Linked DNA regions of Anolis sagrei. The protein of the gene in region 2 interacts with the protein of the main gene of each other region in a pairwise test. Links are inferred from orthologs where the notes say so. Each region holds a gene or a part of one and is shown on either strand. Other genes may lie near its edges. The genes, in order: MAPK14 and SUPT20H.

The links.
Region 1: the proteins of SUPT20H (region 2) and MAPK14 interact in binary tests that used the Homo sapiens proteins (3 or more experiments, as listed by UniProt). The link is inferred for Anolis sagrei from reciprocal best matches to the Homo sapiens genes SUPT20H and MAPK14.

Annotation. Positions count from the first base shown.
Region 1 is NC_090024.1:186,304,286-186,311,984, forward strand, and holds the start of MAPK14 (mitogen-activated protein kinase 14), read left to right. Parts: upstream 1-4,540; 5' UTR 4,541-4,999; coding exon 5,000-5,115; intron 5,116-7,699. UniProt on the Homo sapiens protein: Serine/threonine kinase which acts as an essential component of the MAP kinase signal transduction pathway.
Region 2 is NC_090022.1:166,997,041-167,005,003, forward strand, and holds the start of SUPT20H (transcription factor SPT20 homolog), read right to left. Parts: upstream 3,017-7,963; 5' UTR 2,918-3,016; intron 1-2,917. Other genes in the region: mediator of RNA polymerase II transcription subunit 18-like, read left to right, coding at 7,466-7,535. UniProt on the Homo sapiens protein: Required for MAP kinase p38 (MAPK11, MAPK12, MAPK13 and/or MAPK14) activation during gastrulation.

The DNA.
Region 1 (7,699 bases), on a different chromosome or scaffold from region 2:
GTGGTATCTAACATCAGTAAGAATAGCATATATAAATAAAAATAATTCAAAAAATTGTTGGAGCGGGTGTCAAAAACCAGGAACATACATACATATGTGGTGGCAATGTAAATATGTAAATAATTTTTGGGAGAAAGTATTTAGAGAAATAGAAGATATAATGAATATGAAAATTGAGAAAAGTCCTAGTATAGCCTTATTATCACTATATAACAACAAACAATTGAACAAGGAGGATAAAGAAGTGATAAACTTATTAACAATAGCAAGACTGCTCATAGCAAGGAACTGGAAAAAAGAAATAAATATACAAATAGAGGAGTGGTACAAGGAAGCATGGAAATTGGCAATAAATAATAAGCTGACATGTATATTAAAAGTTAAAAAAGTATATGGAAACAAAGTGATTTTGATGTTGTATGGGGTAAATTTGTTGTAAATGGTTTAAAAAACAAGGAAGGTTACCGCCACAAGAAGAAATGAGATTTTGGACAGATGATATGTAAAAGTTGTGGCTTGAAATGGGGGGAGGGGAGCACAGTGGTGGGGGGAAAAAAGGGGGAAAATGCTTAAGCAGAAGAAAAAGATTATATGTTAAAGAGGGTGTTGAATAATATGTAACTGCTATAAACAAATGTATAATAAATGTAATAATTATGATAAAGTAATAAAAATATTTAAAAAATAAAAAATAAAATGTATATCTATAAAAAGATACATATTAAAATTTATTTCTATAAAATGTGTATTAAAATGCAAAAAAACACAACCCAGATTAAACAAAGGACATTAAAATTCATGTTTAAAAGCTGTTTTTATAAAAGCATCTTGGTTGAGTGACAGCAACAAAAAAATTGCCAGACTATACCAGATGCATAATTCTTAGGTGTAAAAATAATATCCCATGAGATTAGCATAAACACAAGGACTGCGAGAGAAAGTTGCACCATCTAGTTGAAGAATTGGCAGGAAAGCCACAAATGTAATCTTGGATTTCCCAGGGTGCACCTTCTACACTGTAGAATGAATTGCAGTTTGGCACCACTTCAACTGCTGTGGGGTCCAGGGAGCTGTAGTTTGACAAGAGCTTTAGCCTCCTCTGCCAAAGAGTGTGTATGCCTTGCCAAAGTACAACTTCCAGGATTCTGTGCCATTGAGCCAGGGCAGGTAAAAGTGGTGTCAAACCGCATTCCTATAGCAGGCATGGGCAAACTTTGGCCCTCCAGGTGTTTTGGACTTCAACTCCCACAATTCTTAACAGCCTACAACCTTGTTGGTCAGGAATTTTGGATATGACATCTGTTTACTGGTTGACTCATAAATTAGTGGCAAAGGAAATTATACTTGTTCAGGCCTTGGTTGTGGGATTATGTGTTTGTAATTGTTTTGTAATTGTTTTGTGTTCTGTTTACACTGTAATGTGTTAATATATGTAAATTTAATTAAAAAAAAGCAATTGTGGGAGTTGAAGTCCTAAACACCAGGAAGGTCAAAGTTTGTCCATCCCTGTTCTACAGTGTAGAGCAGCGTTTCTCAACCTGGGGATCGGGGCCCCTGGGGGGGATCACGAGGGGGTATTGGAGGGGCTGCGAAAGACCATGTGGGGGGGGGGGGGTTCAGAATGCTCTTTGATTGTAGGTAAACTATAAATCCCAGCAACTACAACTCCAAAATGTCAAGGTCTATTTTACCTAAACTCCACTAGTATTCACATTTGGGCATATTGAGTATTTGTACCAAGTTTGGTCCAGATCTATCAACGTTTGAGTCCACAGTGCTCTCTGGATGTAGCTGAACTACAACTCCTAAACTCAAGGTCAATGCCGACCAAGCCCTTCCAGTATTTTCTGTTGGTCATGCGAGTTCTGTGTTTCAAGTTTGGTTCAATTCCATCGTTGGTGGAGTTCAGAATGCTTTTTGGTAGATGAACTAAAATCCCAGCAATTACTATTCCCAAATGGCAAAAATCAACCCCCCCCCCCCCCCCTCCAAGCCCCACCAGTATTCAAATTTGGGCATATTGGGTATTTGTGCCAGATTTGGTCCAGTGAATGAAAATACATCCTACATATCAGATATTTACACGACGATTCATAACAGTAGCAACATTACAGTTATGAAGTAGCAGATGACGTCCAAATCTGTCACTCCTTCCCACCCCGTTACTAAGGAGGCTGTTCAGCTACTGAACCAGTGCTTGGCCACTGTGTTGGACTGGATGAGGGCTAACAAATTGAAATTGAATCCTGACAAGACAGAGGTCAGTCAAAAGGCCGAACAGGGCATAGGGTTACATCCTGTGTTGGATGGGGTTACACTCCCCCTGAAGACGCAGGTTCGCAGCTTGGGAGTGATCCTGGATTCATTGCTGAGCCTGGAACCCCAGGTTTCAGCGGTGGCCAGGGGAGCTTTTGCACAGTTAAAGCTTGTGTGCCAGCTGCGCCCGTACTTTGGGAAGTCTGATCTGGCAATAGTTGTCCACGCTCTTGTTACATCCCGAACTGATTACTGCAACACATTCTACACGGGGCTGCCTTTGAAGCCTGTTCGGAAACTTCAACTAGTCCACCGGGCTGCAGCCAGATTACTAACTGGAGCGACATACAGGGAGCACACCACCCCCTTGTTGTGCCAGCTCCATTGGCTGCCGATACACTTCCAAACTCAATTCAAAGTGCTGGTTTTGACCTATTAAGCTCTATGCAGTTTTGGCCCAACTTACTTGTCTGAACGCATCTCCCTCTATGTCCTGCTTTGCAGTTTAAGATCATCCGGGGAGACCCTGCTCTCGCTCCCGCCAGCATTACAAATACGTCTGGCAGGAATGAGAGACAGGGCCTCCTCGGCTGTAGCCCTCTGCCTGTGGAACTCGCTTCACAACGAGGTAGATCGGCTTCATCCCTCCTGTGTTTTAGCAAGAAATTGAAGTCGTGGTTTCCGAACCGTCTTCAAAGACATCCCCATGTAGAGTGCGTTGCAGTAATCTATTCGGGATGTGACCAGAGCGTGGACGACCATAGCCAGTTCAGACTTCCCAAGGTACGGGTGTAGCTGGCGCACAAGCTTTGACTATGCAAAAGTTGACGTGGCCACCGCCAAAACCTGGGGTTCCAGGCTCAGCAATGAATCCAGAACCACTCCCAAGCTCCGAACCTGTGCCTTCAGGGGGAGTGTAACCCCATCCAACTTTGGATATGGAATTTGACTGGAATGGTGATACGGTGGTTAATACTGTTTTTATTGTTTTATTTAATGTTCTATTTATGTTTTAATTGTTGTTATATTGCTTTGTTATATTTAATGGCATCACATTGTGCCAAATTTAAGTCATCCTGAGTCCCCCTTCAGGGGTTGAGAAGGATGGGGTAGAAATACTGGAAATCTATATATATATAAATGCTCTGTGCATAATGAGTACCTTAAAAACAAAAGAACCAGTGAACGAAATCACACCAAATTTGGCAACAAAACGTCTCACTATACAAGGAGTGGCCATCACTCAAAAAAATATTATTTTGTCATTTGGGAGTTGTAGTTGCTGGGATTTATAGTTAACCTATAATCAAAGAGCATTCTGAACTACATTAACGATGGAATTGAACCAAACTTGGCACACAGAACTCCATGACCAACAGAAAATATTGGAAGGGTTTGGTGGGCAGTGTCCTTTGGTTTTGGAGTTTTGTTTTTTTGTTGTTGTTGTTTTTTTTTTTTGTCGTGTCAGGAGCAAGTTGCTTCTCTTGTGAGAGAATTGGCTGTCTGCAAGGACGTTGCCCAGGGGACGCCTGGATGATTTGATGTTTTTATCATCCTTGTGGGAGGCTTCTCTCATGTCCCTGCATGAGGAGCTGGAGCTGATAGAGGGAGCTCAACCGCCTCTCCCTGGATTCGAACCTGCGACCTGTCGGTCTTCAGTCCTGCCGGCATAGGGGTTTAACCCACTGCGCCACCGGGGGCTCCTACTTTTGGAGTTGTAGTTCACCTACATCCAGAGATCACCGTGGACACAAGCAATGATGGATCTGGACCAAACTCTACATGAATACTCAATATGCCCAGATGTGAACACTGGTGGAGTTTGGGGGAAATAGAATCTTGACATTTGGGAGTTGTAGTTGCTGGGATTTATAGTTCACCTACAATCACAGAGCATTCTGAACCCCACCAACGATAGAATTGGGCCAAACCTCCCACACACAACCCCCATGTGGGCCACAGCAACGTGTGGCAGGGGACGGCTAGTAAGTAAATAAATAGCAACCAAAATAATTTTGTGATTGGGAGTCACCACAACAGGAGGAACTGTATTAAAGGGGTCCTGGACTAGAAAGGTAGAGAAACACTGGTGTAGAGAGAGAGAGAGAGAGAGACAGACCAGCTGGAGCTGTCACAAAATCTCATCCTTCCTGTTCTCAAGCTCCGCCTTCTTTCGCCTTTTCTTCTCGCTGCCTTCAGGCTCTCGCGAGACCTTCCCGCTGCTCCGCGGATTCCAGAGCGCTCCAGCTAGGTTCCATATTGGGGCATCTCGCTGGGAGTTTTTTTTTTTCCATCCATCTCCCGGAAGTCTCGCGAGACCTCCGCGATCGATTGGTTCTGGCATCTAAGGAAGAAGGGGAGGTCGGGAGAAGTCAGGCGCGGGCGAGTCCTCGTCGTTGCGGGGCTGAAGCGGGCTTCTTCCAGGGCGACCGCAAGCCTCCTTACGCTGAGGGGGGAAGGCTTTTTGCAGGGGGTGGGGTGAGGGGGTCCCTAAAAGCAGTTCCCAAGGAAAGAGGCGCCCCGTGTTTCCCCTGCAGCGGCACGAGGCGTCCGGGCCAGCTGAGGCGGCGGTTGGGCGCGCGCGCAGCACAGAGAGAGAGAGTGTGTGTGTGTGTGAGTGAGTGAGTGACGGAGAGACCCCTCCCCTTTCCCCCCTCCCCTCTGAAGGGGGCGGAGCCAAGGGTCCCGTGCGAGGGTCTCCCTCCCTCCAGGCCGCGCTGGGCGGGGCGGGCCCGGGGTCGCGATGACCCACGAGCGGCCCAAGTTCTACCGGCAGGAGCTGAACAAGACCATCTGGGAGGTCCCCGAGCGGTACCAGAACCTCTCGCCGGTGGGCTCCGGGGCCTACGGCTCGGTCTGGTGAGTGGCAACCCTTCGTCGAAAAGGGAGGGAGCTCCTTAACAGAGCCTCAGGGTCACACGTTCAAGGCAGACCGCCTTGGCCGCATCTGCAGTTTGACACCCCTGCAGTTGCCCTGTCTCAGTGCTGTGGAGTATTGGGAGTTCTAATTCGATGAGTTAGCATCTCTTTGGCAGAGATGGCTGAAGGCTCCTAGGATTACAATATATTCGTAATAATACAATATAAAAATCATATATTGGCCAAGTCTTTCATGGCTGGGATTATTTGCTTTAGGTTTTGTATTGTTATATTGTGTGTTGAGGCCTTGGCCTTTGTAAGCCGCATCGAGTCCTTCGGGATATGCTAGCGGGGTACAAATAAAGTTTAATAATAATAATAATAATATTTAGGGTTATGGGGGCTTGGAGAGTCTCCCGAGTACTGGTGGCTGCTGCTGGGCTCCTCCAGACCTCTGGCCATTGGCGTAATTTATTTCATTAAAATAATAATAATCACTGGATTGTTGTAGGTTTTTCGGGCTATATGGCCATGTTCTAGAAGCATTCTCTCCTGACGTTTTGCCTGCATCTATGGCAAGCATCCTCAGAGGTAGTGAGGTCAGATTTCACAATAATAATAATAATAATAATTATCTTTACTTATACCTCGCCACCATCTCCCCGATGGGGACTCGGAGCGGCTTACATGAGGCCAAGCCCAAACAACAATTACAATAAAGAAAAAAAAACCAAAACACAAACCGAAAATGCAAACAATAACAATAACATCATATTAACATAAAACATACGCATACATAACAATGTAAAAATTACAAGTAGCACAGGCAAAATAACAATAACAACCTGTGAGGATGCTTGCCATAGATGCAGGCAAAACGTCAGGAGAGAATGCTTCTAGAACATGGCGACATAGCCCGAAATACCTACAACAACCCAGTGATTCCGGCCATGAAAGCCTTTGAAAATACATTAAATCAGTTTACAAAATCAAAATACAGATGCAGGCAAAACATCAGGAGAGAATGCTTCTGGAACATGGCCATATAGCCCGAAAAACCTACAACAACCCAATTATCATATACTTTATATTACTAATAATATTACAGTTTAGAAATACAGTACAATATTGTAATATTTAATACTATATTGTGCTGTGCCAATAATATAATATATTGTATAGACATATGTTATTGATAATATTATAATGTAATACAAAATAATACTAATAATACAGTGTAATAATTTATATTTCATATTACATGTAATACTGCAGTATGGTGGTATAGTACAGTATAGTAATATATAATACTAATATTGTGCTGTGCTAATATTATATATTGTATATACATATATTATTGATAATATTACAATGTAATATAATACTAATAATACAATATAATAATTTTATATTCCATATTACATGTAATATTACAGCATAGTGGTATAATACAATATAGTAACATGTAATACTAATATTGTGCTGTGCTAATGATGTAATACATTGTATGTACATATAACTTGTAAGCTGCTCTGAGTCCCCTTTGGGGTGAGGAGGGTGGCATGTAAATGTCATAAATAAGTAAATAAATAGGATTCCATAGCACTGAGCCATGGCAGTTAAAGCACTGACAAAGTGCATTAATTCAACATCCTGACTGAGAGTACATCTACGCTGCAGAATCAGCACAGTTTGATACCAGTTTAACCATGGCTCAATGCTGTCGAATCCTGGGGGTCCAGCCATATCTGCAAAATCGTGCATTCCATAGCATTGAGCCAAGGCAGCTAAATTGGTGTCAAACAGCATTCAGCTCCTCTCCTGTGCAAAAGCTGGCTGGCTGGCGATGCCGCCTCTACGCAGGTGCATTGTGCACTGTCACAGTATCTGCTGCAGTTCGCGCGTCTCTCCTGCAAACCTCCTTGACCCCTTCGGTTCTGTCTTTGCATGCACCCCACTAGCTTTTGGTGCTGAGGAGGCAGCCTTTGGCAAAAAGGAGTTGTTTCATAATTGTTCAAGGTTGGTTTTTTTTTTGAGATTGCAAGGGGTATAAAGAGGCTTGGCATTTTAGAAGCTACTCCGGCATTATATCGACTTTCATTCTTGTTCTTTTGCCAGCCCAATGTATATTGAGTTTCCCTTATTTTGAATTCCAGAATCCTCCAAAATTTCAATCACTCTTGGTTCCAAACATTTTGGCTAATTGGGGTCAAATTTTGTTGCTTTCTCTTACTGCATGATATTGCTCATACTAAAGTTTCCATGTCTTCGTGACAGAAGGCATTGAGGCCAGCCTTATTATGTTTATCTTACATTGCATCTACACTTCAGAATTAATGAAGTTTGACACAGCTTTAATTTCCTTTGCTCAATAATATGGAATACTGGGATCTGTAGTTTGGTGATGCACCAGCACTCTTTGGCAGAGAAGGCTAAAGACCTTGTAAAATTTCAGCCCCCATGATCACATTGCATTAATCCAACAGTTAAGCAGTGTCAGACGCATTAATTCAACTTTGTAGGTTCATCCTTAGTCTGTGATGTACATAATCTCCTGCCTGTACACATGCACACACTGGAAAAA
Region 2 (7,963 bases):
ATGGATGCGAGAGCTGGACCATAAGGAGGACTGAGCAAAGGAAGATAGACACTTCTGAACTATGGTGTTGGAGGAAAATTCTGAGAGTGCCTTGGACTGCAAGATCAAACCAGTCCATACTCCAGGGGAAAAAAACCCTGCTCAGTGGAGGAAAAGCTATTAAAGGCAACCATGAAGTATTTTGACCACATAATGAGAAGACAGGATAGGATACCTTTGAGAAGATAATGATACCGGGGGGGGGGGGGGGAGGAGAGGGGTCAACCAAGGGCAAGATGGCTGGATGGTATCCTTGAAGTAACTGGTTTGACCTTGAAGAAGCTGGGGGTGGCGATGGCTGACAGCTAGCTCTGGAGTGGGTTGGTCCATGAGGTCCATGGGAAGTAGCAGCCAGTAATGAATGGAACAAGGCATTGACATCTCTGGTCCATTCCCTGTTCAGATATGAGCCAGCACGTCAACGTCTTAAACCAAGAAATAGCTTCCTAATATCTACAGAGATACTTGAAGGAACACCGCAGCAAGCAAGAGTCCAAAAGTGGCAGGCTAAAACCCAGAACATCAATCAGCGGCTGAGACCAGATGAGAAACTCCTTCCTGGGCACACAGCAGGCTGGAAGACTTGGAAGGCACAAGATGTAGAACCAATATTAAGAAATGGGGCTACAAAGTAGAGTCAACAACATGGGAGTGTGGAGAAGAGCAAACCACAGACCACCTACTACAATGCAGCATCAGCCCTGTCACATGCACAATGGAGGACCTTCTCACAGCAACACCAGAGGCACTCCAAGTGGTCAGCTACTGGTCAAAGGAAATTTAGCACAATGCCAAGTTTTTAACTTTGTTTGTGGTTTTTTATACATTATAACTGTATTCTCAATTCATTTCTGACACAATAAATAAATAAAACGATGTTGTATCCCACGTCCAGTTACAGTGAGAGGCAGGCAATAAATTCATCATTATTGTCCAGTCCAGCGCTCTTCTGCCTTGCAGGAACACACCATCCAAGCACCCCTGGCAGATGGCAATCCAGCCTCTGCTTAAAAACCTCCACCCCAAGGCAGGAATATATTCCATTGCTGATCAGCTCAGGAAGTTCTTCCCATTGTTCAGATACCATTCCTTTCCATGCAGTTTATGTGCCTCCGTGTCGTTTCCGACCCATGGCGGCCCTTCGACGGAGTTTTCTGAGGCCGAGAGGGTGCGGTTCACCCAGGATCACTCAGTGGGAGTGGGATCCGAACCCGTGTCTCTAGAGCCATAGCCTGGCGCTCAAACAGGACAAAAGGCTTCCTCCAGCTGCGTGGGTCTCCAAGTCCCAGAAGCCCTCGCCAGCTTGCTCCATGGTCAGGAATTCTGGGAGTTGGAGGGCTGCAGTTTGAGACCAAGCTCGGTAATAGTATGAAAGCTGGGTCCGGAAGCGCTGAGCCTTACGCTGTTTCCGCTGCGCTGCACTGTTTGCACAACGCAGAATGGAACAGAGATATTAAAGAAGGAATGTAAGATTTCTTTAATGGTAAAACCTTAACCAAGTAAAACCAAGTAGCAACAGTCAGAACTGACCACGGAACAACAGACTGGTTCAAGATTGGGAAAGGCGTACAGCAAGGCTGCATACTCTCACCCAACCTTTTTAACTTGCAGAACACATCATGCGATGTGCGGGGCTTGACGAATGCAAAGCTGGGGTGAAAATTGCTGGAAGAAACATTAAAAACCTCTGATATGCAGATGACACCACTCTGATGGCCGAAAGCGAGGAGGAGCTGAGGAGCCTTCTAATCAAGGTGAAAGAAGAAAGCACAAAAGCCAGGTTGCAGTTAAACATAAAAAAACCAAGATTATGGCAACAAGAATGATTGACAACTAGAAAATAGAGGGAGAAAACATAGAGGCCGTGACAGACTTTGTATTTCTAGGTGCAAAGATTACTGCAGATGCAGACTGTGGCCAGGAAATCAGAAGACGCTTACTTCTTGGGAGGAGAGCAATGTCCAGTCTCGATAAAATAGTGAAGAGTAGAGACATCACACTGGCAACAGAGATCCGCCTAGTCAAAGCCATGGTATTCCCTGTAGTAACCTATGGATGTGAGAGCTGGACCTTAGGGAAGGCTGAGCGAAGGAAGATCGATGCTTTTGAACTGTGGTGCTGGAGGAAAGTTCTGAGAGTGCCTTGGACTGCGAGAAGATCCAACCAGTCCATCCTCCAGGAAATAAAGCCCGACTGCTCACTGGAGGGAAGGATACTAGAGACAAAGTTGAAGTACTTTGGCCACATCATGAGGAGACAGCAAAGCCTAGAGAAGACAATTATGCTGGGGAAAGTGGAAGGCAAAAGGAAGAGGGGCCGACCAAGGGCAAGATGGATGGATGGCATCCTTGAAGTGACTGGACTGACCTTGAAGGAGCTGGGGGTGGTGACGGCCGACAGGGAGCTCTGGCGTGGGCTGGTTCATGAGGTCACGAAGAGTCGGAGGCGACTGAACGAATGAACAACAACAACAAAACCTTAACCCTTACTCTAACCCCTAATTCTAACCCTAACCCTAACCCTTGTCCTACTCCAAACCCTAAACCTCATCCTAAACGTTACCCTAATCCCCTCCTTTCTATCCTTCCACCAAATTGAAGTCTATCCCCGCCCTCCTCCGCGTGCCGCTCTCCCCTTCCCTTATTCACAACCGCCTTTGCGGAATGTGCGTAACACTCGGAGCTTCCGGGCCCAGCTATCACCCCCCCCCCCCCCAAGCTCCAATGCAAGAGAAGAGACAAGGGCAGCCCTCAACACGTCAGACGGCCACCTGTGAAGCGCCGCTTACTCCGACACCTGTATCTCCGCCCATTCAAACCGCGACTGAATAACATGGCAACGCCGCGAAGGGCCCCAAACAACCGCGACCCCCGCTCACCACAGCCAGTGACTCTTCCTCCTCCGCTTTCAGCAGCGGCTCTTGAAACCCAGCTTCCGCCCGAAGGAAGAACCGCGCGCGCGCAGACTCGCATCTCGCGATGCTGCTGAGACCGGAATTGCTCGCTTCTCACGGGCACTCTGAAATCTCGCCTGCAGCGCACTTCCCGCGAGAGTTGTGCTTATTACTGCTGCTTCTCTAGTTCAGCTGAATGCTTGTAGGCCCGCGTTTAAGGCACGTGGGGAGTTCTTATTTATTTGTCGTGTCAGGGCAACCAGTCGATTATATTACATTTCTAACAGAACAAAGCAAACACACAGATAAAATACAGCATTTGTGAGTTTGGTAGTTGGTTAAATGTCCTTTGACCAGTATCTGGCCACTTGGAGTGCTTCTGGTGTTGCTTCAAGAAGGCCCTCCATGGTGCATGTAGCAGGGCTCAGGTTGCATTGCAGCAGGTGGTCAGTGGTTTGCTCTTCTCCACACTCGCATGTCGTGGATTCCACTTTGTAGCCCCATTTCTGAAGGTTGGCTCTGCATCTCGTGGTGCCAGAGCTCAGTCTGTTCAGCGCCTTCCAAGTCGCCCAGTTTTTTGTGTGCCCAAGGGGGAGTCTCATTTGGTATCAGCCAGTGGGATTCTTTTCCAGGTAATCCAGAGCTCAGGATGCTTGTCTGTTCTTGAGATGAAAAGCACATGTCTGTGTTTTAGTCTTAAGCATCACTTTGCTTGCATAGGAAATAAATGCAATGTTCTGATTTTATTTGTTGTGTCAGGGCAACCAGTCAATTGTATTACATTTCTACCAGAACAAAACAAACAAACAGACAAAATACAAAATTTGCGAGTTTGGTAGTTGATTAAATGTCCTTTGACCAGTAGCTGGCCACTTGGAGTGCTTCTGGTGTTGCTGTAAGAAGGTCCTCCATGGTGCATATGGCAGGGCTCAGGTTGCATTGCAGCAGGTGGTCAGTGTGGTTTGCTCTTCTCCACACTCGCATGTCGTGGATTCCACTTTGTAGCCCCGTTTCTTGAGGTTGGCTCTGCATCTTGTGGTGCCAGAGTGCAGTCTGTTCAGCGCCTTCCAAGTCGCCCAGTTTTCTGTGTGCCCAGGGGGGAGTCTCTCATTTGGTATCAGCCATTGGTTGAGGTGCTAGGTTTGAGCCTGCCACTTTTGGACTCTGGCTTGCTGAGGTGTTCCTGCAAGTGTCTCTGTAGATCTTAGAAAACTATTTCTAGATTTAAATCATTGACGTGCTGGCTGATACCCAAACAGGGGATGAGCTAGAGATGTCTCTGCCTTGGTCCTTTCACTATTGGCTGCTACGTCCCGGCTGATGTCAGGTGGTGCAATACCGGCTAAGCAGTGTAATTTCTCCAGTGGTGTAGGGCGCAGACACCCTGTGATAAGGCAGCATGTCATTAAGAGCCACATCTACTGTTTTAGCGTGGTGAGATGTGTTCCACACTGGGCATGCATACTCAGCAGCAGAGTAGCATAGCGCAAGGGCAGATGTCTTTACTGTGTCTGGTTGTGATCCCCAGGTTGGGCCAGTCAGCTTTCGTATGATATTGTTTCTAGCACCCACTTTTTGTTTGATGTTCAGACAGTGCTTCTTGCAGGTAAGAGCACGGTCCAGAGTGACTCCCAGGTATTTGGGTGCGTTGCAATGCTCCAATGGGATTCTTTCCCAGGTAATCCTCAGAGCTCGGGATGCTTGTCTGTTCTTGAGATGAAAAGCACATGTCTGTGTTTTAGATGGGTTGGGGAACAGCTGGTTTTCCCTTTAATGGGCAGTAAGAGCACCTAGAGCTTCGGAGAGCTTCTGTTCTACCATCTCATGCCAGACTAATCTTTTCGATAGAGTTACAAACTGGGAAGATGCGGAGAATGCCGTGGATGTAGTGTACCTGGATTTCAGTAAGGCCTTTGACAAGGTCCCCCATGACCTTCTGGCAAACAAACTAGTCCAATGTGGGCTAGGCAAAACTACGGTGAGGTGGATCTGTATTTGGTTAAATGGACGGACCCAGAGGGTTCTCACCAATGCTTCCTCTTCATCCTGGAAAGAAGTGACAAGCTGAGTGCCACAAGCAGGGTTCCGTCCTGGGCCTGGTCCTGTTCAACATCTTTATTAATTACTTAGATGAAGGGTTAGAAGGCAGGATCATCAAGTTTGCAGGCGACACCAAATTGGGAGGGATAGCTAATACTACAGAGGACAGGAGCAGGATTCAAAACGATCTTGACAGATTAAAGAGATGGGCCAAAACTAACAAAATGAAGTTCAACAGGGACAAATGCAAGATACTCCACTTTGGCAGCAAAAATAAAATGCAAAGATACAGAATGGGGGACAATGCCTGGCTCGAGAGCAGTACGTGTGAAAAAGATCTTGGAGTCCTCGTGGGCAACAAGTTAAACATGTGCCAACAATGTGATGAGGCGGCAAAAAAAGCCAATGGGATTTTGGCCTGCATTAATAGGAGCGGTGGTTCACAGTATCATAGGCTGCTGCCAGGTCTATGAAGACAGTTTCTGTGATCTGCTGCCTTTAAAAGCCATCTTCTATGTGCTGAGTCAGGTTCAGCACTTGCGATGTGCAGCTTTTGCCTTTCCTGAAGCCAGCTTACTGTGGGATCAGACACGGGTCTATTTCTTCTGTAATTCTATGCAAAATAAGTCTCTCCAGAACTTTGTACAGGTGGCACAACAGGGAGATTGGTCTGTAGCTTTTTGAGTCATTACCTGGCTTCATCTTGAGTCTTTGCCTGGCTTCAAGATGGCAATGACTCCAGATTTTGGGGATCCGACAGGAAGCAGTGCAGTAGTTCATCAGCTCCAGCAGCCAGTGCCTTGCTTTTGGGCCAAAGTTCTTGATTTGTTCCATCCGTAGATCATCCAGACCAACTGCTTTGCCATTTTTTACATTTATTGAGAGCCATGTCCAATTCAGTAGATGTAAAAGGTTCAGGAAGATTGTTCTCAGTCTCTCGTTGTCTGGCTATTGGTTTCTTTCCTACTTTGGTGGCAAGGTTGGGTTTCCCATTCTTCATGTTCTGATAATAACAGCAATCCCTATTATTCCCCACTAGCTGTACCCACCACGCGTTAAGGTGGCCAACCTTCCCTCCCCTTTCTCTCCTTTCTTCCTTCCCCTTTTTTCTTTCCTTCTGTCCTTCCTTCCTTCTCTACTTCTCCCCCCCCCTTATCTTTCCCTTTATCTTTCTCTCCTTTCTTCCTTCTCTACCTATTCTTGGACTGTAACTCCCAGCAGTCCTCCTGATTGATCGATGTATGTACCTACCTATTGGGAGGGCATTCCATAGCCAAGGGGCCACCACCAAGAAAGCCCTGTCTCTCGTCCCCACCAGACGTATTTGTGACAAAGGCGGGACTGAGAGCAAGGTCTCCCCAGACGATCTTAAAGTCCTCGATGATTCATGAGGGGAGATGCGTTTGGACAGATAAGTTGGGCCAGAACCCAACACCTTTTGTAATACAATATATTTAACAGGCCCCCAGTGGCACAGTGGGTTAAACCGCTGAGCAGGCATGTAGCTGGGGGGGGGGGGGGCTTGAGGGGCTTCAGCCCCTCCCCCCCCCCCCAAATTCTCATGGTGGTTTGCAAGAAGGCCTTACTGGTGCATTATTTAAACTGTTACATTTATTCATATCATGATCTGATCACCATACTCAATATATCCCATATGCATGGGGGTATTGGGGTAATGATACAAAAGGTTTGCTAGTGTAGACCCTCTTTCACTCAGACAAGTGTGAATGTTGCAGTTGACCACCTTGATTAGCATTGATGAGCCTTTCAGTTTCAAGGTCTGGCTGTTTACTTCCAATCCTTTGTTGGGAGGTGTGAGCTGGCCCTGATTGATTCATGACTGGAATTCCTCTGTTTTCTGAAATCCACAGGAAGCATGTGGACAATTTCAACAGAAAGGAGGAAACCATGAAAATGAACAAAATATGCCTGCCAGTATTTAAAAACTCTAAAATCAGAACAGTGAATAAAGAACAACATTAAGAAAACAGAGGAATTCGAGACAGAAAACAACCGTTCTGTGATAACAATGTTGAGGGCGTTCTTACTTGCTTTGCGCTCAGTTTAAATGCATCTGTACTAAATCAGAAAACATTTTTTTGTTATGGATTTCTAATCTCTGGCCAACTGGATGAACACTGAAAAGAAAGTCCCTGGCAAACCAAGTGCCATTAGAGTGCCAGAAAATATGGAAGCAGGAAAAGCCTCCCCACAGCAGTTGTGCAGGCGTTCCACTCATAAGCAGGCCATGGTACTGGGGTTATCAAGTCAGAGTTTGAGGAGGATTCTACATGTCAGTTTAAAACTGCATCCTTAGAAAATGATTTATCTGATATGATTTTTAAAACCCATTAAAACAAAACTGTTTTATGTACTTTTCTGTAATATATACATTTTTATCTAGATAGCTTCGTGGGAGACCTTTATTCCCCAGCCTGTAAATCCGCAGCCCATTCTAATTGATCCTGTTTTCCTTGTAGGGAAGATTTCACCATGGAGGCTCCTCCAGTCACCATGATGCCAGTCACTGGCGGGACCATAAACATGGAATATTTACTTCAAGGTAAGTCACCAGTAAGGTTTGTCATGATGCTCTGTCTCATTCATGCTGTTTCACACCCGTTTACAAGAATTCAGTTGCCTTTAGTTAGGCAGTTGTATTCTTTTTATAGCAGCAGGATTGTGAAAAAGAGAGATACCTTTATTGCGAGCTGTTTTACACATTGCAAAATGGAAAACCTAGGTCTGTTACTGAGTATGTGAGCTTACCCACAGAGGCCTTTCTCCTGCCCACCACCAGGAACTGTCACGTGGGCAAGCAAAACAGAACGTCATTTTGTTAGTGGCCTCATATTTCTGGAATCGGAAATTCATTTGGCCCCTTCTTTATAAATGAGAAGAATCTTTTTTATCCATTTTTTTCTTAAACATTGGCCAGCTGTTTAATTATTGTTGACCAACATACATTTTGCTGTCTTAAATGTTAACCTT